Drosophila melanogaster: one gene and its partners. The protein of the gene in region 1 interacts with the protein of each later gene in a pairwise test. Each region holds a gene or a part of one and is shown in the gene's direction. Other genes may lie near its edges.

Region 1 (10,883 bases):
TAATGATAATTCAACTATTTAAAGGTAAATTTCATAATGTGGAAACGACTCAACGGATACAGGCCTTTTCTCTACAACATAACAGCAGATGCCTGCAAATTTGTTGAAAATCCAAAATCTAACCCAGTCCTGAAATATATCTTCGACTCATTTTCCGCGTATTCCAATATGAACCACTCATGTCCCTACACGGTAAGTGTAATTATTATATATGAAATTATTAATTTTTAACTATTTAGAGCGACTTAATTGTGGAAAGGCTGCCCATTGGTTTTATGAATCTCCGAGTAACCGAAATTCTTCCCTTCCCCGAGGGCAATTACCTGTTTGAGTTTCACTTTAGTCGCCGAAAATCTATTTTTGCAAGCACTCAAGTCTATTTTACTATTTCATAAAAATGTCAAATGTGTACAGAATTATAACTTATCGAATGTTTTAAGTGAGAACTTGAAAAAATCGCCGAGCTTGTTTGTTATTGTGTTGGCTTTGTAGTTACGATCGTTTATCACAATTGCAAAAATAAGAGTTGAAGTCATTGCGAATTTAGTGGATCATTAAGCTTATATTGTTGCTACTGTCATCAATAACATAATATGCAAGCGAAAGTAAATCCCCTTGGTTACTTTTCAATTAACAAGATTTTTATGGACTTGCATTAACCCTCAATAAAGTTAAACACAAAATTGGCCCCAAACAAAGAGGCGAAGACCGCGGCTGGGGGAAAATTGTATAAATGAAAACTAAATATTTACTTTGGGCCCTTGTTATTGCTGCCAACTGACAGCAGGAAAACAAAGAAAATTGAGAAAAGGTTTTCCCGGCGCTTATCTATGAGCGCTGAGCGCCCAAATAAGTAAGTCAATAAATCAATTCAATAAAATTTCTGCTGCCTTTTTATATTTGAAGTTTTTGGCTCCGGTTTTTTTTTTGCCAAATCCCAAGCAAACAAATGTGAGCGCAAAAAACTTTCGGCCTGGCAAATGTTTGGCACTCAGAAGGGAAAACAATGAAATGGTGCAGAGGGGCTCGGGAAAGGGTCAAAGGTTAAGAGGGAACGAAGGCTTGGACCAGAAAGATACATAAGCACTGATAGCTGAAAAGTTTATCAATTTGTAAAACGACAGCCGCAGACATAAGGAGTTTTCCCCCCGGAAAAGTGTGGGAGCAATTTTTCCGAGCTGAGCCGTTCGTTTTGAAGAAAAGAGCTTTTCGTCGGGGTTTCTGAATCTGCTGAGCTTTCCACACGGACATTCGCCCCAATTTATTTGCTTTGAAATCAATGCAAATAATTAATTTAAATTAAGTGCTGGCCCGGAGGAAGTGTTTGCTTTGGTGCTTCCTTCTGCCAGCCATCGAATAGCCCACAAATCGGCCATCATTCACACATAACCCCATGCCTGTGGTCACATAACTCAAATGAATTGTTTATACAGCGCCAGAAACTAAACAGCAACAGCAACAGCAACAATTGCGATTGCGATTGCCGAAAAAGTTGAAACAATGAATGAAATGTTTGCGTTGCGTGTCAATATTATCTTTTTATTTCACTGCCGTTTTGTTTATGTGCAAAAAGAGAGAGGAAGCGCCGTTTGGCTTTCTGCGTGCGAGCATAAAAAACATTGTTTTATAAATACTCGGCCAGTGCGCGGCTATTGCTATTTTGGCACTTCTATTTTGGCCATGTCCAACGCAGAAAATGTATATCAGCCCGAAGACTAAGTGACATGCCGACATGACGAAACGGGTGTTCAAAGTGTCAGGCGCGAAATCTGTTGAAATGCGAACAACTTGACTCAACTTGACTGGCAAATTATTTAGCAAATCCCCAGCGTTTGCTCTAGCCATGGCGATCGGCTAGTCTCTAATTTAGATAATCTTGAGGTGAATCAATTGCGGGTGTCGGCCACTTAATCTCGGCCAGCTGACCGCAGTTGCCTCGCCTCCTAATTGCGCCTAAAATGCGCTGCCAACGGCATTTTGGGGCTATTTAAATAGCCGCAGATCGGAAACACAAGGTTTTGATGTAAAGGGAAGAGCAGTACGATGGTTGGTTAACTTAATCGTATGTATTTGCAATAACTCTAATTTGCAAACAACTATTCCACGCACTCAGTGTTTAAACAATAAAGTAGAGTAGTAAACCATACTTAAATACCTATTTAAATGCCAGCACAAACGTATGATATTTTTGAAACATATTAGTGATTGAAAATATATAGTGACACTTATTGAGCTCTTCTATTCCTCGGCGACACTTTCGAAAGTTAAATACCCCGTATTGCCATTGGATACCCCAAGAAGGATGGGGGGCTGGACTGGGCTGAGCTGTCAGCGCTTTTGCCAAAATTTCGCGTTGGGAATGCAATGCTCTCATCGGTCCGCCCATCGCACCCCGCCGCACCCCTTACTGAGCACTTACAGCCCCCTCGAATCCAATCCCACCCACTGGTTAGCACCGGAAAGTATTTCTTTCTAGTCTGCGGCGGTCGTGTGACTCGCTTTTGTCTCTCTGCGACTTGCGAATACGCGGGGGCGTCCAAGTAAAATCGTCTCCGCTCTTTGCCAAATCGAAAATCCAAGTGCCATCGATGCGCATTTGGCTGGCAGCGGGTGCATTGGCATTGCAATGGATTCCGATTCGGAGATTCCGAATGTGATTCCGAGTGCCCGAAATCGGGCGATCCATCCTTCCCAGCATATATTATGGAACTGTCTGTCTGTCGAGCGATATAGCGCTTCCCCAGCCAAATCGTACTACATATCAATTGACCATCGCGACAAACAACATTGACGGGGCAAAACACACATATTGTTTGTGGCTGTGTTTTTTATGTGGCCATCCCCATCCCCACACAGATAGTTGCGCAAATATTGCCACGCTTCGCATAAAAGTTGCATGAAATCGGTTCCACCAGCGAAGCATTCAAATGAAAAGCAGAACCGCGAATGCGCTATCAAAATATATATAAAAATCAACTTACTATACTATATTGAATGTACTACCCAAAAAACTGTATTTATTTAAATTTAAATCGTTAGATAAAAGCTTTTGATTTCTTATGTTTTTTAATTTTTTTTTTTTAATCAAATATAAATCTTATCCGAACCGAAACACCCCCTTTTAATTGTAGATCGCATATATTTTTGCACGAGGCGCGCACAAAGTCAAGACTATAATTATAGCGACACCCACCTATTGGCGCCCAATTTCTGGCAAACACACACTCGCGCTCAATCACACACAAACACACACACTCGGACGCACGCACACACAATCAATATCACGGTCAAGTTGAAAATCATTGAGAGCGGATGTGGACATGGAATGGGGCATGGAGGTGGAAATGAGGATGAGGATAGAGATGGGGATGGGGGTGGACATATCACAGATGTGTAAATGTCTGTGAAGGTCGAGCAGTCAGTCGCCCAGTCGACGATCGCAGAAGGGCAGTGATACGAAGAAGAGACCAGAGTGCGTGTGTGACATTAACCCAATAAAATAAACAAATAGATGGAACCCTACGAGAGCGTGGTGTATTCTTATTTATATTTTCATTTTCGGCGGAGAGTGGGAGTCAAGGGCGTGAGATCGGCCGATCACAGCCGATCTTCTTCGGGCTTTCAAATTGGGTCTTCTGAATGCCAAACGATGCCAGCGAATTTCGCTCAGTTTCGAGGAAAATCGCGTCGCGCCAACTTGGGAAATGCGTTGCGTCGTGTCCCGTGAAAATCATCGCGACTAAGGCCCCGAGAATCCCCAAAGGATTAGCCCGAAAATAATAACAATAATCGCAAGCGGCAAACGGCGAACTGCAAACAAAGTGTGACCAAAGTGATATATGTGTGTGCCTGTCTGGCCGTCTCTTCGCAAATCCATTGCTATTTTCGTTGTCGCTCGCTTTGTGGGCAATTAGCACAAAGTGTCGAGCAATTTTCCGTCTCAATTGAAGTGCTGCTTACCCTTTGCCAAAAGCATCCGTTAAACAATGTGATGACTTAATGAAAAGTTAATACGTCTCTGAATAATTGCAGCAAATTGAAATATTAATTGTTCAACATTTGTTTCGTGTGCGCTGCGGGCGAAAGTTGTCTCTATCTCGCTATATTGGCATTGCCTGGCTAAAAATACAAGAAAGTCCACAGCTATACAAATTATAACAACAAGTTTTATTTATTGCCTAAATATATTTGTGTGTTTTGTGCGCTTCTGTGTTGGTGTCTCGTCGTCCATAAAGACGCTAGGCAAAGGCGTATAATTATCTAAATTCCTGTGTTAGTAACACTTTCAGCACCAGCAAACAGTCAAGCCATTAAAAAATATATATCGAGCTAAGGCATCGCAAAAATCAGCACCAACAGAACGCAGAAAAATTAATAAAAAAAAATAAAAAATTTAACAAAAAGCAGGGGCCGAATAAATAATCAAGCATCATGTCGGCGACCTCCACGCGAAGTTCGGTGACGAGGAAATCATCGCTATCAAAAAGTTCTAGTTCAGACAAATCGGCAAAGTCCTCGTCGAATTCCTCGAAATCTCCGACAGCCGCCAGTGGAAACAAACAGAAAATGCAGTACACAAAAACCAGGGAGCGCATGGTCGATGGTAATGATCTCTACTCTCTATAAGCACTACGGACCCCAATCAAGCATTATCCCAAGCACGATTCCCTACTGCGATTGTATCTTTAATGACATGCGATCATGCTTCAATGGCATTCCAATGTGCTGACCGCCGTCATTAATGTCAAAACTGAGGGTTTCACAAATTATTTCCTTTGAACATTTCAGTCGGCGGAGGCAAGCGTTTCGAAAAGTGTGTTTTGAGAATTGGGAAGTCATGCTTGTAATTTTCAAAACAATAGCATGGCTGCACCTTCTCGAGGAGCAGTACATCGATCGTTAAGTTTTCATGTTTAAAAACTAATAAATGGACTTTTGAAATGGAAACAAACATAGAAAGGAAAACATTTTATAGCTCATGTAAATTTATCTAATTTCAAAAAATGTTCTTTGAGCAAGTTTCAATCGATTTATTTTACAGACCATTTTACAATGCATAATTGCTTATTATGCGCATTATTTATACATAAATAATTTACAGATTTTTAATAACCCATATATTCCGATGCAACTGCCATAAATGTGCTTTTATTAATCAATTATTCGGCATCGTAACTTAAAACCCTTAACTGAAAATGCGGTACTCGCTTTTGTTCTTTGGTTTATTGAGTCCATAAAAATTAATTTAATTATCTTCGAGCACCCATAACAAGCAACAACTGCAGTACATTGGCATTTTATTGGCCATTGCGTCAAAATTCAAGACATTTACCCAAATTATGACAATTAAAAATGGCGTTCGCCCTGACGTTTCGATGTGTGTGTGTGTTCGATTACGTTTGTTTGTTTTGTGTGTGCCAATCAATTTTCGACTTTTATATTCACTCAGTCAAATTTTGTAATTAGCGTACGAATCTCATGTGGCTGCATCTGGCGGAATTTCGGTTTTCTTTATAGCCGGGCCAAGAAAAGCGGCCAAACCGAATGAATATTGGCGCTAAGTTGCAGCACCTCGTTAACCCACATCGCCGTCGGACAGCGATGTTTATTATAATTCTATCAATGCAAGACTACACCGAAAAAAATTCAGGGGAACTGTAACAATACGAGAAACCCCATTTTCAAAGAGATGTTCCATTCACGTCATATAAGATACAAGATACAATATATAATTAACAATTGAATCCAGGGGCTTCTTCTTCTGGAAATGGGTGATAACAATTTACTTAATAATCTTTACTTAATAATTTGATTAATTTCTTTGTTACTCCCCTAGATGTTCCACTTCCGCCCACCCACAAGCTGACCATGTCGGAGGTATACGACGATCCGAAGACCGGAAAACCCAACTTCGACGCCCTGCGCCAGCACTTTCTGCTGGAGGGGCGGATCGAGGAGGCGGTGGCCCTGAGGATCATCACCGAAGGAGCCGCCCTGCTGCGCGAGGAGAAGAACATGATCGACGTGGAGGCACCCATTACCGTGTGCGGTGACATCCACGGGCAGTTCTTCGATCTCGTAAAGCTCTTCGAAGTGGGCGGCCCGCCGGCCACCACTAGGTACCTTTTTCTAGGCGACTACGTGGACAGGGGATACTTCAGTATTGAGGTGGGTCCATATGAAAATTGTATCTTAACTTATCAGGAATATATACTGCGTTTTCCATTTTTGTATTAAACGGTCCACTTAATTTCAGTGCGTTCTCTACCTGTGGTCCCTGAAAATAACCTACCCCACCACGCTTTCCCTGCTGCGAGGAAATCACGAGTGCAGGCATCTCACAGAGTACTTTACCTTCAAGCAGGAATGTAAGTTGGACTTAACTGAAGTTAATGCCAGAATTTGCTAGTTATGAGAAAGTTGATTTGTTTCCCGTTGATATAGATAAACTACAAAATGAGCAAACCTGCATGCCTCAGTCACTTTACGAACTTAATGCGCTTTTAAGTGCGAATATGCATGCTATAAATCTCCTTCCGTCGCTAATTCATTAATTTTTCTCTGTTGAAGGCATCATCAAGTATTCGGAAAGTATTTACGACGCCTGCATGGAAGCGTTCGACTGCCTGCCCCTCGCCGCCCTCCTCAACCAGCAGTTCCTCTGTATTCACGGCGGTCTGTCGCCCGAGATTTTCACACTCGACGACATCAAGACGGTAATAAAGCAGCGCTGAAATGTTTACAATATAATGCATCTGTGCGGATTTTCTCAGCTGAATCGCTTCAGGGAACCACCGGCCTACGGGCCCATGTGCGACCTGCTCTGGTCCGATCCTCTGGAGGACTTTGGCAACGAGAAGACCAACGAGTTCTTCTCGCACAACTCGGTGCGCGGGTGCTCCTACTTCTTCAGCTACTCGGCCTGCTGTGAGTTTCTGCAGAAGAACAACCTGCTGTCGATAGTCAGGGCGCACGAGGCGCAGGATGCGGGGTAGGATCGGAAGTACCATGGTGTAATATCCATATGATTATCGAACTCCTTCCGCTTCAGGTATCGCATGTATCGGAAGAACCAGGTTACGGGCTTCCCCTCGCTGATCACCATATTCTCCGCCCCCAATTATCTGGATGTTTACAATAACAAGGTATGAGATAGTTCCACCTCTCTCCCTCTGCTCACCCTGCTCACCCTATCTCTTTCTGGGTTGTTTATTTATCTTGCTGTTGTTGTTCCTGACTTTGCTATTTTTAAATAACGAAATCTTTTTTTGGCTGCATTGCGAGCTGGTGCGAGTTTAAATCGCGCTGCGTTCGCAATACCCTCTCTTCCATCTCTTTCTCCGGCACTCGCCCCGTCTCTTTCTCCGCTCGCGCTGATTTTGTCAACCATCGAACCCATTTGACAAAAGGCAGCTGTGCTCAAGTACGAGAACAACGTGATGAATATCCGCCAGTTCAACTGCTCGCCACATCCCTACTGGCTACCCAACTTCATGGACGTCTTCACATGGTCGCTGCCCTTCGTGGGCGAAAAGGTGGGTTCGCACCCAATCGGGTGGGATTATCTATGTATTTTGAGTTCAGTGATGGAACTAAGCCATAATACTCGAACTAGAACTTTCAAAAGTGTCTGAAATCTTTATACGTGATTTTAATATCCAATTTACCATGCCATTCAAAGGTAACCGAGATGCTAGTCAACATCCTGAACATTTGCTCAGACGATGAACTGGTGGCCGGACCCGATGACGAGCTCGAGGAAGGTAAGTTTGGGGATCCACAGAGCGATTCTGTCCGTACTAGACTGTGTGTCAATGTCGCAGTGCTTTGGATGTTGTGGGGCCAATACGGATACACGTGAATTACAAACTAATCTTCTATTAAAAATATTTTCCGAAACCAAATATCGAAATACGACAACTGCAATCTACTACCAACACCCATAATAATTTCTGTACCAACACCACCACCAACTTTCCACTCAAAACACGTCCAAAACACGACCAAAAGAGCTACGCAAGAAAATTGTGCTCGTGCCGGCGAACGCGAGCAATAATAACAATAACAATAATACGCCCAGTAAGCCAGGTAAGCCAGGTATTAAACGCAGGCCCAAAGTGAAGCCAAACAGTACCGCCAATGCAAATGCCACTGCCATTGCCACTCCCACTGCCAAAAATAAAAATGCCTGAGCCAACGAAAATCGCCTGAGCGAAGATAGCGAAAAGCTTAGTTATTGCCTTGCGCCCTGCTTTGATCGGCTTTTCAGCGAGTTTTCCAGCTGATTACCATTACATTTACCCCGTGACCCCGCGAGATTCCGTCTAATCGAGCCCTCAATTCGCAGCTTCCATGTCGGCGCTGCGCAAAGAGATAATTCGGAATAAGATTCGGGCCATTGGCAAGATGTCGCGCGTCTTCTCCATCCTCAGGTGCATAATGCCTCCTATAATCCCGTGGATTCAGCTAAATAATTCAATATTCCCACATCCCGCAGGGAGGAATCCGAGAGCGTGCTCCAGCTGAAGGGTCTGACGCCCACGGGCGCCCTGCCAGTGGGCGCTTTGTCCGGCGGAAGGGATTCCCTCAAGGAGGGTAAGTCAACACACATAGGTATTCTCAGGATCAAATTGATGTAATGCGTGTAGGGACTTTGAATTATAACATATGCCTTATAAATTAATCAGGATATAGTTCCGTACACTTTGACCACAGCCCTCCTTATGTCGTAGGCCATCCAATTTGTTTCGTATAGGTAATCCCCTTCAGGAACGGGAAGGACCTTTGTCACCTGGTGATTAACGAAGTGTATGGGTAGTTTTTCGATCACGAGATCGTGCTGTATAGAAAACCAGAAACATAAGCACAGATCGGATTTAATTAGGGATATACGCACATCGTAGGGGCAGTTGTGATTCATGTTGGTGAAGGGCCTAATGAAATCATAAAGGTAACTGGCTATCGGGTTCGACTTTGTGTTGTTCATGAATCTACATGCATCCAATGTGATATTGAACATGAAAGGTCTATAGCCATTATATCCATTAAATCGTTTGAGAATTACTCCGTTGATCTGAGAAGAGTAATTGTAGAAGAGAAAATGTTGTTAACCAAATTATTTAAATACCTTGACTTTGGTAATTGGCGTTTTAAATAATTTTGCTTTGATCGACACATACTTGTAGCTACGATTAACCGACTTTATGTAGCAATACTCAAAGTCGGAAAACTGTTTATCCAAAGAATTGCACATGATATTTGTGAACTCAAATTTCGATGATATCTGAGGAAGATTTTGAATTGATTCGTATTATACCTAATATTTTAATAACTCTTACCTCAACTATTGAAATTGAAAGAGCCAAAAGCGCCACTAAACCACAATGATTTACACCCATCTTTCGATATCGACTAACCAGTGTAAGTTGTTTACAGAACCCTATTAATATTCTATTGAATCAGCAACATAAAAACAATTTACAAAGCAATTAATAGCTCCACCAAGCCAGAAAATCATAATGAACCCACATTATAATGAGTTTAGTATAGTTTTTGTTATCAAAAAAAATAGTTTTTAGTGTCTACTAAAATACTTTCACCACAACTCAGTCGATGTCGTAGGCAATCCAGTGGGTTACCAGTTGGTAGGCTCCTTCGGAAAAGGGCAACTCCTTTGTTCCTTAATGGTTTACAAAGCCAATTTCCAGTTTCTCCACAATCAAATCGTGCTAGAATCGATCAATTTCGAGTTAGCCAACACAAAGTGTTAGGACCTACTCACACCTGCAGGCATCCACTGTGACATTGAACATGAATGGCTTATAGCCGTTGTAGCGCTTGAAAAGAATGGCTCGATTAAATCTAAAAGGAAGACTAGTTAAAAGCCATTACAATTCGATTTGTAGCGAGTTTTAATCTAGATGTTTGCTTGAATATGGTTTAATTATTTGCCTATCGCGGCCAATTAAACAGTGCTGATCGCAGACCAGCCATCGTTTTTATACCCGTTACTCATAGAGTGAAAGTGTTTCTCTGGCAGGAGATAATATAAATTCTTGATCAGGATCAATAGCCGAGTCGATCTGACCCTGTCCGTATGTCCGTCCGTCCGTATGAACGTTAATATCTCAGGAACTATAAAGGAAGGTTGAGATTAAGCATAATCTAAAAACCGAATATAACCCGTCCACAACATGGCATATAATCGGGGTAGTCGGCTATAGCATGCTGTCTTGTTACTAGATAACTAAGTAATAAACCTTCCTGATTAGTTTAATCGAAACTTTTTGCCAAGACACTGCCACGCCGATTATTAATTGAGCTGTTTCCCATCCCCGTCCGACTCTATGAACCCTCAGCTCTGCAAGGACTGACCGCATCCTCGCACATCCACTCCTTTGCGGAGGCCAAGGGCCTGGATGCGGTCAACGAACGGATGCCGCCCCGTCGTCCTCTTTTGATGAGTGCCAGCAGCAGCAGCATCACCACGGTCACAAGGAGCAGCAGCAGCAGCAGCAACAACAACAACAATAACAGCAACACCAGCAGCACCACGACGACAAAGGACATCAGCAACACCAGCAGTAATGATACCGCAACCGTAACCAAAACGAGCAGGACGACTGTGAAATCGGCCACCACCAGTAATGTGCGGGCAGGATTCACCGCCAAGAAGTTCCCATAGGGGGTGAAGCACTTGCCTGCTCAACACTGATTTCTATCATTTTCGTTTCGACCTTCTGTTACCCATTTAAGTTTACACCTCGTTAGGGTAAGGTCAGACGTGGCCATAAATTAACGCAAACTGTTGCCACATTCTAATTTCGACACAAAGTTCTGATAACTTCTCATATGAGATAGATAAACATGATACTAGGACACTA
Region 2 (7,815 bases), on another chromosome or scaffold:
TACAACATCAGCCTTGCAATCACAATTAATCCCATTGGCTTACTTGGCCCACCTTTATTTTATTCGCTGTTTATTTGTGGGCCAAATTAGTTGCCGTTTACAAATTGGCCCTAATGGCTGGCATGGCTGCGAAGGAATCCCGTCATAAATCGACTTTTCTGCTTATTTTACCGATTCGTTTGGGCTATTTTTAAACGAATTTAATTTTAAATGTTCGCCATTATAAATAAATCACAATTTCGATCGAAAAAGTTCGCAAGGAACCAATAAAAAACATTGGTTTTTCGAAATTTTCCTACGCTTTTCGGCGGAAAATCGCTGTGTTTGCGGGTCAATAATTGGGTAATTAAAGTTACACGTGCGATCAGACAGTGAAAATATTCTAGGGTATTGTCGGTACCAGAATTTCCCACGCATGCCCATTAACAGCGGCACGAACAACAATAACAATAACAGCGGCTGAATCCGTTGGCAACACCCACGACCCAACATTTGTTTGACATACACTGAAAGAAAAAACTGATTTATTGCGAAATAATGATCTAAGGCGTACATGAATTATATATTGGAACTAATATTTTCATAAATAAATGGGATCGGTTTTATTAAATAGTATATACCAAATATATCGTAATTTGATATTTACTTATTAAGCATTTGTTTATAATATGTATGCACTTAGAGGAATTTCACGATGATATTATGCAGAACCACTTAAAGATTATATTGTCATGAATTATACACTCTACATATTTATGTTCATTTTCAATGCTCCAAAGGTAGTTGGATTGTTATATTGAAATCATTTTCGTCTGAAAATTCCTTGCAGTGTACGCAAACGATGATCGTTTTGGGCTTGGTCGCGTCTCGTTAGTTAGTGGACACATATTTATGTGACTGATCACAGGCGCAGATCGCTGCAGACAACGCAGTACAAAAAGTGTCGGCGCGGCGGCCACAGCACCATCCGTTCTAAAAAAAGAGTCCCATTGGTCGCGTGTCCCAATCTCTCGGGATTCGAATTCGAATCCATCGCAAATCCATTAGTGTGTGTGTGTGTTCCGAATTGGCCAAGATTGCGGACCCAGAGGATATCAGTGAAAATCCGCTCGCTGTAAGTGCGCAGGATTTGTAGGCACGTAGATTTCGCTAACCGTTTTGGCTTTCGTTTGGCACTGCACCTGCTTTTTGCCCAGTTAGAGTTCCGCTTTTTCGTTTGCCCCTCGACCTTGGGCACTTTTCACGCTTCGTTTGGCCGCCAGTCGTGTGTTTGTCTATCGATGATATCACGGCTGGGTCATTAAGACCCGGTTAAGTGCGACATTTCTGTTTGCCTTCCGCCGATAACTAACTTAAGTTGCTAAACGCCGTTCCCAGAGTCATTAACACCCCGTTAAAGTCCAGGGCAAATCACGGGATCCGCCACTGGGCTCCCAGCAAAGTTTCATAATATTTATCTGGCACGATCATAACATGCATACGCGATGTACTACAAACATCTATATTATATCTGTACATATATGGTTTAAAAATAAACATTGTAAATATTTACATTGGAAATCTATAAAGAGCAACTCGCCGATTTCTCACCATAATTCTCTTGCTAGCCGTTCACACGGTTTTGGCCAAAGGCTTATTACCCCGTTTTCCTTTTTCCATTTTCCTTTAGAGAAATAGTAATAAATGCTTTCAATAAATAAATAACTCATAACATATCTGTGTCTGGCTGCCGCTTTCATGTTTATGAGCTGATAATGAGCTCGTAAACAGTCCAATTCCGGTTGTCTCTGCTTAGAAGCCATCCGAACTGAAGCGATCTTGATGGAAACGGCGATCCCTGGATGCTCTTGTTCCCTGTCATCGGGGGGTAAAGTCATCCACTGATAATGCCAATGATCGATAAGGAGTTCAGTAACAGCTTCGAAACAGTTGTGCAATTTTTAAATACACATAAAAAACCAAATGAAACGTGAGGCTACAGTAAAACTTCTCTAAAAGCAACTATATCTCCTTAAAATTAAACATATTTCAATATATAGAGACGATGTATCTTTAAAATTTAGCTTGCACTGTGAGTGAACTTTAGGATTAACGAATGTTTGAGCAGCTGTGCTCAGCAATTCAATTCAATTCGAGTGTTATTTTAACCTTTAAGCTTCAGCTTTTTTTGACCCCACACGGCGTATGAGCAATGTGTCACTTTTGGACAGCTCACCTGAACAATCTGAGCGATCCGCGACAGCTGCCTAATTAAAATTATCGAAGATTCCGCAGCTTCGTCGCCGTCTGCCAGCGCTTTTTGAGTGCAGCCAACGGGGCGGATTGTCGATCGGTAAAAATAGCTCATACGCAATGTGGGCACACGAACGCACTGGCACTTCTTTCTTGTCATCTCATGTGCAGCCGGGTTGAATGACTCGCGACTAAATATAACACTTGCCGTTTGCCCCGGTTTATGTAATAGCCATTCAAGTGTTGATCTAAGCCAATGCAGGCGACATCGGAATTGGATGTTTTTGAGATCGCTTCGCCCTGCTCATTAGGCGCATTGATAAACAGATAAACAGATATGGGGAAACGTGTTTGGTCAAGTGTTTTTTTTTTTCTATTCATACGCTTCTGATGGCACAGTTCTTTCTGTAGAAAAACGCATACACTCATTGAAAAATCGCCGCGCCAGAAGATCTACATTTTATGCCGGCTGTAGCCGTCCGTTGACAAAGAGCGAACGAGCATCGAAATCGATGAAAATAAATCAAAAAAAAAAAAAAAAAGAAAAAAACGCAGATGAACAAATGGCAATCCCAGAACGAGGCGAGATTTCAAAATTTTTGGTTCAAAAAAAAAAAAATAAAACTGGCAAGAGCGGGAATACCGCTCTCAACTTTTCTCTCGCCAACTTGTTTTTGGCTTTCGCTTTTTTTTGGCAGCATTTTGATCGTTGGAGCGCCGTAGAATACTCAATATTGTTTGGGATTCCGTGGCGAGACGATCGTTGAAAAAGTCGCGCGCGCTGCTAAAATAAATTCAAGCGCTATATTATTAGGCAAACAAAAAGGAACACACATCATTATAATCCCCTTAAAAGTTAAGATATAAATACGCAGGCGACGAGGGGAAATACGAAATACAAAGTAAACACATTTTATTGCTGGATAATTTTACTGTGCCCAGTGACAAGAGTGCTAACACATTTAATACACATTCAAGTGCTGGCAAATAGAGCCGAAACTGGGCCAAAGTTGATTTGAAACCAAATATTACTCATACGCCACCGGCACCGCATTCATTCCCCCACCTAAGCTATCACTTCTTGAATGAGCCCAATGAGCGGACTGCGCCAACAGCTAAAGGTGAGTACTATGCTTATTTTCTTATCGATAGGATAACCCGATCTTCATGAGCCCTAATTCCCAGATGATCTTGAGTCTTTAGCCCAAAACCTGCTTGCATTTGCATAAATATTTACCTAATCGCTTTTCAATGGTGGCAACAAATTTCATTCTCCGTCTGGCAGACACTAAAGCTGCCTTCGTTGTATACACAATTTGTTTTTATTTCGTTTATGATGAGCAAATATTAAATCCCTCTCTCGCCTACCGGCTATAAATAATTTTAATAACAATATTGGTACTACATTCGCCTGTCAGGGTCGCCAAGGTACATTTAAATTGGCAGATCGTATTTGTTAGTTGTCAAATATTTAGATTAACCCATTACGCAGAGCGCGAATAAATATTGCAACAGGTTTATTGTCTGCTAGCAATTAATGTTAAACAAAATGATATACGAAGTACGACACTTAATTGCTTAAGAGCTATATGGTAGCGGGTTTCTTGGAAACCTTTTATTTTAAGATGGAAAAAATGCATACTTATAATATTATTTTGAATTGTCGAATATTAAATTTCTGTATGCTGGCCAAAGTGTTTCTCGGAAAGTATATTTCCAATAGGAGCTCAACAAACTTGCCCAAATCGAGTGGAACCGTCGGCTATATTTTATTCAGATCTGAACAGACGATAATTAATTTGAAAGCGTATGTGCGCGACTCACATAAAGTTGCTCCACAAGAGTGCATTCATTTTTTCCTAAGTCATAAAATGCGTCGCTGTCGCAGCCCATAACTTTGTAGCCAAAACACATCATTAAAAAGTACAGACGAGCGTCCATAAAAGGCATATAGGTATATGAGTATAGATATAGATGTATATATCTGGAAAATCGACTTTTGCGGAGGGGCATCATAATGGTTTCTTAATGTGCCCGTTCTGGATTTTTGGCGTACAAAATGCGCTTCAGTGCTTTTGAAGGCATTAAAAACGTGATTGTTTATAGACGTATGTGTATCTACTTGGCCAATATAAACACTAGCGATTATTAACTTTTTTCCTACCTTTCATACTTGTATATTTTAATATGATGTGAGCCCACTATGCTCGCTTTTGTTTGAGGTCCAACGTTTGATACTTGTTTATTCGAATTCACTAATTGACGACACAAAGTTTATTTCATATATCGTAGATTTATACAAACAAGCCGCAAATTTATGATGTTGGCACAGCTTTGTGGAGCATAACAAATTTTCGGAAATTCCTGAACAAGTGTCAACGAAAAATGCCATTAAACGAGCTTTATAACGCCGATTCTGCGCAAATTTATTAATTTGTTTACATTGTATGGTTCTTGGCACGTGAGCAATGCCACCTCTGCATTTATTATCTCGCTTTAAGCCCATAAAGCAGCAGTTGGCTAAGGTAACTAACCTCGGACAAGGTTTTACATGGTTGCCATGTGGGCCATGTGAACATCATCCACACTAAACTTATGAACTTTATGTAGGATTACAAACAGAAATAAAAGCCTATTCCGTAGGAAAACAATGCGTGATTCATGCAACCTTTAGATTGTCTAAATTAACTAACCAAATGTTTATATTCAACACCAATTAATATATATTAGGTCATGCTTTAATTGAAGTGTAATCAACTTCTCCCATCTGCACACAATTTAAATGAATTTGAAATCAGCATTGTTTGTGAAAATGGAAATACTGGAATATTCGGATATATTTGCGTAAACACTTTCACCGCATTTGCTGGTTCATTTTTGCAATTAATCAAAAATAGTTGAAATGCTTGCCATTCAGTACGTAATTTAGAAATAAATTGGGAAATAAATAAATGGTAGGCACGAACACTCTGGCCAGCCCCCTGCCAAGATTCCTCAGATTTGGTCTAAATGGAGGGGTTGATGCTATCGAATTGGTCTTAAAGAGCCCACTAAATGCATATGCACTTCTTTTTCGCTAACTTGAGATGCTCGGAATTCCTCGAGTGAAAATAGATTGAAAAACAACAAGTGCAAGTGGGTGCTAAAATAAACCAAGAACAACGTAATAAACAAGAATGTCAAAAATAAAAAAACCTTTGGCTAAATGTAAAAATATCCATTTAGCCCATCCGCAAATACCTTTTTGATTTTCCCCGCAGCTGAAGAGTATGCTACACTTTCGTTTACACTTCTGCTAATATTTTCCCTTAGCTCATTGACTTTTACTTAGTATACTCAATGTTTTATTTGCTTTATGTTTTGTTTTACAGATGCTGGGTACAGCATTGCTGGGCAAACGGGCCACCAAGGTAAACACGAAATTATTTCGGATCGATCGGTTTATTTTGACTGGTCGGTATTTATTTGATTTTCACTTTCGTTTCGTTTTTTTTTTTTGCTTTTTCATTTCACAGTCTGTCAAAAAGAAACCATTTACGGAGGTGGAAATCAAAGGTAAGTAACCAAATCAAACCACAAATCAACAGACAAATTGTTTATTTACAAACAAGACGAACAGTGACCTCTGTTCTTCTGCGAAAAACTCAACAAAATATGGGTTAATATACGTGGCTATCTAGTATTTGATTATTCATAATTACAGCCAATTTGTGTGCTAAGATAAGCAGCTAGCTCTGCCATTTCTTGGCCGGGCCCACGCTGCGTATACACAATCTCGTTTTGCACACTATCAGGGTGTCAAAAAATATTTCTTGCGGCCATGGAAAAGTATTCATGTTTGTTGGGTTTTGATATGAATGAAAAAAAAAATGATTAGGCTTCTTTAATACTTCAGATTTCAGATTATACTTTTGGTTAGTGGTTGTTCATGTAAATTTAGCCAGCCAAATTTGCCGACCGCCTTTTGCATGTCAGCCCATTAATTGTTGCACCACTAATTTTAGATATTCTTGGGACAGGTGCACTGTGGCACCTCAAGATGGATGGATCCGCAGTTGTATACAGCACTTTGGCTATTTTTGTATCTTGAATTTCCGTGCCCGCAGAAATGCGGCTTAATCTAATCACGATAGCCATAATCGAGTTGAAATTTAATTAACGCGCCTCTTTTTTTTACGAACGATAGCACAAAGAATGGAATCGCAGTAGACGGGGGTGTAGAGGACGGCAGATAGCTGACACCCCCGCATCACGTGTCCAATTAACGCGAAAATAAAGTTTCCAATGCGGTGAACAAAATATATAAAGTGGAGCAGTAACGAAATACCTGCCATAAGGCTTTTAATTTTGGCTCTGCGATTTTTGCAGCCAAAAGTGTTTACCACCGAAAGACGAATCAGATAAGATGCTGATCCCACACCATTCAAGTGACACATTTTTCCCCGGCTGACAAGCCAAACAAGTCATATTTAAATCGGCGCCAGGCACTTTCATTTGACATTGCCTTCAGCTGTTGATCTCCGGCAAATATTTGGCCTTAAAGTGGAAAACGCAGCAGGGAATCATATGGAGTATGAGTCATTTTATGAGAAAAGCGGACAGTATTTATATTGTAGAAAGAAGATATTGCTTTATATTATGTTCATCGATGCATTGCAGCTACTTTAAACTATGCTACTATCTAAGTGACACCTGTTGAGCTACTAGTACTACCCAAGTACCTCACAGATACTTTTGGGGCTAAGGCTCACTCAGAGTGTCCGTTAATCAGAGAACTGAAATCAAGATAATGCAAGCAATCCGAGTGAGAGTAAATACGATTACGACATATAGACTAGTACTTAATGAAATCAGACAACCCATCCCAGATACCCAGATACCCAGATACCCATTTACCCATCGCCCATAGAACAATCCACCCACCCAGCAGATTTGGGCACTGCCATCCGGCTGATAAGTCGCTCGGTTATCTGCGGGGAGCGGCGGGTGCTATCACCCAAATGAAATATAATACAATATAGCAAAAGTCGGTTGGGTTCTGGTTAGTTCGTTTCACTTCAGGCCATTATCTTGGGAGTTTTCGTAGATAAATCGTTCGGTAACGCGGCATTCCTGCAGCATTGTTATTTTTCGCGCCCTCGCAGAGTATCGCCAGCTTATGTAGCGGTCGGAAGTGCCCCTCGAGTGTCTCTCTGTAGCCGTGATTGATTGATTGATTGCCCGCTTGATTGACTGATAAACTGATCGATTGGCCGCCCGATAGTGCCGCACTTGTGCGCCAAACTTGTTCGAAAACCTGCGAAATCGAACCAGTTTCACCTGGCAAATTAGCGTCTTTTCGCTTCGGAAATATGAGCAAAGATGATAAGTGTGAGTATCAGGTGGTGACCAATCTTGGCCAAAAGCGAACTTTAGCCAATCGCCAACGCTATCGGTGGTAGTACGAGTACGAGAACGAGTAATCGCGACAAGTCCATATTACTAATTTGCAAACACCAATCAACTCGCGCAGAAACACGGTGCTGTCAATTTGTCGCCACACTCGTAAAACTAATTAAACGAATGTCAGCAGGGCAGCGAAAC
Region 3 (6,717 bases), on another chromosome or scaffold:
TTGTTCTGCACATCGCCTCAGTTTCTTTCGAGCCGCAAGGATTTGGACCAAAAGTGATAGGATTTGGCAAATAGTCGGGGCAGCATCACCTTGTGTCGCAGGACCTTATACTAATGGCCAGCAAAGTGGCAGCGGAAAGAAGGAGCCGCAATAGGCGACGCTTAAGCGGCTTATCCTGGCGAAACAAGGGTGCGACTGCGACTGCGACTCAGGCACGGAGTATTAAAAAGGTACAAACATATGTATGTATATATGACTTTTGCTGGCCAAATGTGCATACACTTAAGTCAAAGTCAAACTGCGGTCGTAGCCATCAATGCACATCTGCGTTTGACCAAATCAATGTCGAACAGACCGGCAGTATCGCGGCCTAATTGCGAAATATGTACTTCAGTTTGGGCGTAGCTGTTGTTGATTTACTTCCCGTGTGGCTGACGCAGGATACATGCTCGCCTTTGAGGTCCTGGCCCGAATCTAAGCTCAACTAATTATAACTTTGGTGCAATTCGTTCAAAACCTTTGAGGCCCTTGCGCGTGTATTCGCGTTTTCATCTCGCGCTCGTCGTCGTTTTCGGAGCTACCAAGGCTACCAAGGATCTCCGAGGTGGGCGGTGCGGCTGAAGTGGGCGTGGCGCAACTCGAGCGGCGAGCGCTTTTAGGCGATTTTGCTGGCAAAATCATGTGCAGCCAACGGCTTCGAGAGTCATTAAGCTTATTAAGTGGGCGAGCAGATAACCCAAATGAGTGCATGCCAAATGAAAGCCAACGCAATTTGCACTCATATCGCCCACGAATTCCTTGCACTGTTAAAAAAAGAAGGAACTGAGCTCAGCTGGTTGGCGGATATATGCAGTCCCAGTTTCAAATGCCTAAATGCCCAGATAAGTGTATCAACAATTTGGACACCGATCGAAATGAAAGGAGTAGGTAAATTCTGATGCTATACACAATTATTTTTTAAAACGTGCATCGTTAACTGACTCGAAAAGTTTCTGGTTAATCCACTTCTTACTATAACCATTTGTAAGTTTGTATCAAAATCAAGATTTTTACAAAGAAAATAAACACTTCAACGTACCAAGTTTTGAAATATTCAAACCACATCAGTGTGTTGAATAACCCCAAAACAAAAAAAAAAAAAATATTTAGATAATAGAAACTGGATCTCAATGGAGTCTGCAATATCCGAATAGATAGCAGATGCTAAGTATGTATGTTTTATATATATATAAATTGCATCTTCAATACTCCGTAGTTCTTAAGCAAGTTTTGTCCAGTGTACTTATTCAAATAGCTCATGCTCATGGAAAAGTTTCCCAAGAGGCCGGAAAAGGGTCAGGAGGTGGAAGAGAAGAAATACGAGAAAGGGCGTGGGGAACCGGAAACGGAGAAGATAACAAACAAATTGCCAGTGCAATTGCAAGCTTGAGATTATCGCCTGCCTGCGGTGGCCGCATTACTCGCTCTTAACTTTACTTAACTCCACTTTGGCTTACTTAACTTTGCTTCAAGTGCAGGCCAATAGGAGGCATTGCAATGGCCTTCTTATCGCTGCGGTTGATGCAAAAGTAAGTCCCATTGCATCCCCAGAAACTTTTAATGGCTGCGAGAGGAGCGCCGCCTACGCTGACCACCATTAATCTGAAAACCTAATACCCGCCTGCGGCTAAACTTCAATTTACCCGCTTACTCGATTGCCATCTTTCGATAACGATTGGCGAGCACAGGCCTAAAAGCTAGCTGCTATGCCACGCAGGACACTCATGGTTTCCTTTTTGACATTAAATTCACTTAATAATATTACCTTTTCGCATTCTAATGCCGTTCCCCAATTATAAACGAATTTATATTCACACAACACATACATATATGTATATTTATATATTAAAAAGTCACATATACATATGCACATACTCCACGTCGACCATCGACTATCGGATACCCATTACTAAGCTAAAGGTGTATGAGCTATGTATGTATACCTTTTTGCGTGCCTCTTTTGCGAAACTCTTTCAATTACCGACCTTAACTGGTAAAATAAAACGGCTCTTCTGAACTATTTTGTGATTTATTTTTATAGTGATTTATTTAATGGTTCGTTAATGTCCTGTATGGTTGAGAGACTCTGAGGAAGAGACATTGGTCATTAGTGTCTGAAAAGATATGTATGATTGAATATGTGTAGAATGAAGGTAATTCCTCGTGAGACTTGTTTACCAGCCCTGAGGACGCTCTAGCTTTAGTCGCTTAGCCAACGGATTCCCATCTGGATTTTGCTCTGAAACCGAAGTTAAATACCCAGTTGGGTCCTCCACGGGAAACGTTCGCTTCTTTACGTCCAGCATGCTAATGAAACTATGAACTTTATGTCAGGACTCTCACCACGAATTACTTCAACTCACAGCAAATTGCTGCTGAACAACAGCTCATTTAGGCGCTCGTGCTCTTCGCGCGAAGGACTTCTGTTAGGCTGCTCCATGTCCAAGATCGAGTCCATTCCTGCCAGCATTGCGATCACGCTAGCTTGCAAGTTGCCATCATTGACAGATGCCGTCTGGGCAGACTTATTCACTGTATTGGATGGCAAACCCTTAGTCATCGTAGACTGATTGCCCATCCACTGATTGAATCCACGCGTAAACTGAGGCTGCAATTCTTCCGGAATATTCCGGAGGAAATAGGAATGGGATTCGTTGTTCGGATTTGGCATCTTGAAGTTCCGTTGTGACATGGAAATGGTTTCTCCGGTACGGGTTCTAGATGTGAACTGAATTCAATAGGGACCAAAGCAAACCAAATGTCAAAAATAGGCTACCTTTTGATTGATTGAAAATGAAAGGGTTGCATTTAATAATTATGCAAAAATGATTTATATTTAATTATATTATATATATTATAAAATTATTATGATATATTTAAATTATATTTATCCCACTCGTCTGTAGCTGATTAACAGTTATCTGAATATGATTCCAAAATTAAGATTAAGTATATATGTACATATATACTGTTATTATATATTAACAGTATATATATAACAGTATATATATACATATATATGGGCCTAACAGAAACCATTATTCCTTTCGGTACCCTTTGCCATCTTTTGAGAATTTACATTGTGTTGTTCTATATGACAGTGACGTCACCTTATAGCTTTAGGCTGTACTTGAATTATTACTTTTGAAACAGCAATAATTCAATGAGTGATCAAATATGAATTCGCACTTCAATCAGCCTTCAAATCCAATGATGTTTCTTATCAAGAATTCAGGCGTATTATATTTCGGAATTCTACATTCTACATACTTTTTAGCCAGTGTAGAATTGTACATACGCATTGGTATTTTCGTCGAAATTCAGTGGTGTGGTATTCAGCTACAGATGTATTTGAAATCTCAGATTCGAGCGCGGTCACACTGAGCACGTGGAGCAGACAAAGCAGCTGGATTGAGAAATTATTGGAAACAACGCAGTAAAAGCACAACAGATTGCACCATGGAGGCAGAGAACATCAGAGCAGACGCATTCGAGCCGGCGAAGAGAGCGACGAAGCGCGGAGCCAGCGGAGGCGGGCAGCAGGACGTGGAGATGCAGGTGGACGAGGCGACCGGCATTGAGGGCCAGGTGCTGGGATCTTCGCGAGCATCGGCGCCGCCCAAGGCAAAGCGGGCCAGAAGCGAGCTGCGCAAGGTATCCGTGCCGCCACACAGGTACTCCTCGCTCAAGGAGCACTGGATGAAGATCTTTACGCCCGTGGTGGAGCACATGAAGCTGCAGATCCGCTTCAACATGAAGGCGCGCCAGGTGGAGCTGCGTGTGGGCCCCGAGACGCCGGACATAGCCAACCTGCAGCGCGGCGCCGACTTCGTGCGCGCCTTTCTCTGCGGCTTCGAGGTGGACGACGCCCTGGCCCTGCTGCGTCTGGAGGACCTGTTCGTCGAGTCGTTCGAAATCAAGGACGTGAAGACGCTGCGCGGCGACCACCAGTCTCGCGCCATCGGCCGCCTCGCCGGCAAGGGCGGCCGCACCAAATTCACCATCGAGAACGTGACCAAGACCCGCATCGTGCTAGCCGATAGCAAGATCCACATCCTGGGCAGCTACCAGAACATTCAGCTTGCGCGCCGGGCCGTCTGCAACCTAATCCTCGGCTCGCCGCCCAGCAAGGTGTATGGCAACCTGCGGGCAGTCGCCTCGCGCCTCTCGGAGCGCATGTGATTGGGAGAGCGGACTGGAGTGGACTGGACTGGAGTGGAGTTCGACTTGAGAGGGAGTAGTTGCGGTTTTTTTTTTAGCATTAGCAATAAATAATAAATATAATAACATGTATTCAAACATTTACAATATACACAAACACACACAGCGAATGACGGGAATGAGGTCGGCCCACTGGAGGCGCGTGGGCAACTAGAGCTTGGTCAGGATGAGCAGCAGCAGCATGAAGAATGTGACCGCCGCCAGGACGAGAATGACGCACATCTTGCGGTTCTTGCGCTGATACATTTCCGCCTTGTGCAGCTGGCGCAATCCCTCCGAGACGCGCGTCTGCGTCTGCTCCACGTTGTAGTCGATGCGGTCGAGCACAGTGCCCTGCTCCTGGACCATGTGGCCCAGGTCCTTGAAGATGTCGTTCAGGTCGTAGATGGACTTGACTATCTTGGTCACCTCCTGCTCGCGGTGCTGCGCCACCCGCGTGTTCTCCTCCTCGAAGAGCAGCAGCTGCTGTTGGGTCATCCGGCTGGCCGGCGGCCTTTGGAAGTGATCGTCGATGGCCTGCTCGTCGTCCTCGAACAGATAGCCGTTGCCGGACTTGCCCTCCGCCGGCGGCTGCAGAAAGTTGTCGAAGGAGTCGACGAAGTTCTCGGCGCTCTGCTCGCCCAGCTCCACGTTTGTGAAGACGTCTCCAGCGCCAGCGCCGCCGCCGTCGTCGAAGTACTTCTGCGAGCGCTCCTCGCGGGAGTTCAGCTGAAGCAGGTAGGCATTCTGGCTGGCACGGAACTTCACCGTCAGCTCCTGCAGCTGGAGCAGGGCGCAGTGTACCGCGTTGACCGTCAGGCACTGCTCCATCTTGCTGCCCACGCCGATGCTGCTGCGCACGCACTGGATGTGCCGGTGCGTGGAGGTGATCAGCTTGGAGACGATTTGGCTGAGCACCTCGATGTCGCACTCGTCGTCCCGCTGATCATCGAAGGCGGGTCGCAGGAGGTGGCGTGCGTGCAGGGAGCCCAGTTCATCCAGCTTAGGCTTGATCCTGCAAACGAGTGATGGGAGTGAAGTTGAACCCTGCGCATGGACTACTGTTTGTTTACCCACTTAGACATGGTGTACTGCGCCTCCTCGAACTTGTCCAGCCAGGCGGGCGGCGTGCCGTAGTCGTCCTGCAGCTCCAGTCCCTCCTCCGCCTCGCGCACCGAGTGCTTTAGAAGGCGCTCCGCATCGCTGCCCCTCTGGAAGACGGAGAAACGCAAAACATATGTTAGTTGATGATAACAGTGAAGACCCCAGACGGAGACGCACTCACCCGATCGTCGTAGTGATTCCGGTTCTTGGACGCATTGTTGCGCATGATGACGAACACCTCCGTCAGGTTGCGCGACGTCATCCTGGCCGTCTGCTCCCGATTTCTTGGGGATTGGAAGGATTGATCCAAGTCCGCTGAAAACTCAATCAGATTTTTTCCAGTTTCGTTTTGACACAGCAGCGCAGTGTGCCCGCTGACTTGCTCGCCCAGAATACCGATAGTCGCCACGACGAACTGGTCACCCTGGCCTGAACGCACCGTTACATGTCCGAGAATTATACTTATTTTAAATATTATTTTCTTATTATCTGTAGAATCTGTACTTTATATGTATACTCCTAAACATCCTATTTGCGAAAGTGATTTTTTCAATATACGGATTGGATAGCTCCAATAGAAATATTCGGAAATTACAGAATATAGTATTGCTTTGTTGAGTTTCAACAATTTATAAAGTTAATTCTGTACACACCGTCACGTAAATTGAAATGCAATACTTTTAGCAATAAAACGACCGTAATAGTACAATAAAAGTATTCAATAATTTGTTATGTGCGTTCTCTTTTTTTGCGTTACGAAAGAGTAATATAACCGAATGATATTGTAAATGATTTTAGAATCAAGTACATTTTAGGCTAATGTTTAAAAATTACAAATTTACAGAATTTTAGGGAACTCATTATGAGTTTGGCTTAACGTTTTCTAATAGCCAGCTTCCACTGTACTGGGTTTTAATCCGTGACACAAGCCTGTGACTTAAGAACACTGAAGAGCTATCGAAAGGCAAAACATATCGATGGCTCGACCCCCTGATATCGATTACTTGATAGCTCAGTCAGTTTGCACCTCCCCCTGATATCGATTGCCATCAAACAATTTTATTTCATTTTAAAATAATTCCTTGATTTCAAATTGCATTGTACTGGTAACTGGCACTTCCAATTGTGACCCGAAAGCAGCAAGCGCGGAAAACGGAGAGTTCAAGTGCGGGTGGAAAAGTCAGGATGTCATAACTAACTCCGAGCGGAACAACGAAATGAGCAGTGCGGACAAGGATAACAACGAATTATCCTGATCCTGGACGCCCGATTGCAGTTGTGTGTGTGCTTGCGCGCGTGTGCGTGTGCTTAGTGTGTGTGCCAGTGACGACATTGACCCGCCTTCGCCCCCGCCCCCACCCGCGCTCCAACCCA

Evidence for each region. Proteins that work in one complex are often made in the same cells at the same time.
Region 2: the proteins of CanA1 (region 1) and Eip63F-1 interact in a two-hybrid assay, tested with the Drosophila melanogaster proteins (one large-scale study listed by BioGRID).
Region 3: the proteins of CanA1 (region 1) and l(1)G0004 interact in a two-hybrid assay, tested with the Drosophila melanogaster proteins (one large-scale study listed by BioGRID).

The regions. Positions count from the first base shown.
Region 1 is NT_033777.3:31,035,708-31,046,590, forward strand, and holds the start of CanA1 (calcineurin A1), read left to right. Parts: upstream 1-3,666; 5' UTR 3,667-3,841; exon of another isoform or gene 3,842-4,277; 5' UTR 4,278-4,431; coding exon 4,432-4,603; intron 4,604-5,836; coding exon 5,837-6,168; intron 6,169-6,256; coding exon 6,257-6,368; intron 6,369-6,570; coding exon 6,571-6,716; intron 6,717-6,773; coding exon 6,774-6,991; intron 6,992-7,051; coding exon 7,052-7,145; intron 7,146-7,409; coding exon 7,410-7,535; intron 7,536-7,681; coding exon 7,682-7,763; intron 7,764-8,010; coding exon 8,011-8,088; intron 8,089-8,347; coding exon 8,348-8,432; intron 8,433-8,497; coding exon 8,498-8,595; intron 8,596-8,683; coding exon of another isoform or gene 8,684-8,839; intron 8,840-8,896; coding exon of another isoform or gene 8,897-9,073; intron 9,074-9,133; coding exon of another isoform or gene 9,134-9,283; intron 9,284-9,338; coding exon of another isoform or gene 9,339-9,398; intron 9,399-9,587; exon of another isoform or gene 9,588-9,854; intron 9,855-10,358; coding exon 10,359-10,684; 3' UTR 10,685-10,883. Other genes in the region: CG33773 (uncharacterized protein), read left to right, coding at 25-192, 240-395; CG33920 (uncharacterized protein), read right to left, coding at 8,684-8,839, 8,897-9,073, 9,134-9,283, 9,339-9,398. UniProt on the Drosophila melanogaster protein: Calcium-dependent, calmodulin-stimulated protein phosphatase which plays an essential role in the transduction of intracellular Ca(2+)-mediated signals. Many of the substrates contain a PxIxIT motif and/or a LxVP motif.
Region 2 is NT_037436.4:3,928,785-3,936,599, reverse strand, and holds the start of Eip63F-1 (Ecdysone-induced protein 63F 1), read left to right. Parts: upstream 1-2,962; 5' UTR 2,963-3,317; coding exon 3,318-3,353; intron 3,354-5,603; coding exon 5,604-5,642; intron 5,643-5,747; coding exon 5,748-5,787; intron 5,788-7,436; exon of another isoform or gene 7,437-7,583; coding exon of another isoform or gene 7,584-7,602; intron 7,603-7,815.
Region 3 is NC_004354.4:20,388,038-20,394,754, forward strand, and holds l(1)G0004 (lethal (1) G0004), read left to right. Parts: upstream 1-3,409; 5' UTR 3,410-3,498; coding exon 3,499-4,221; 3' UTR 4,222-4,364; downstream 4,365-6,717. Other genes in the region: jb (jean-baptiste), read right to left, coding at 2,153-2,153, 2,218-2,346, 2,403-2,731; Syx16 (syntaxin 16), read right to left, coding at 4,411-5,254, 5,317-5,450, 5,525-5,605.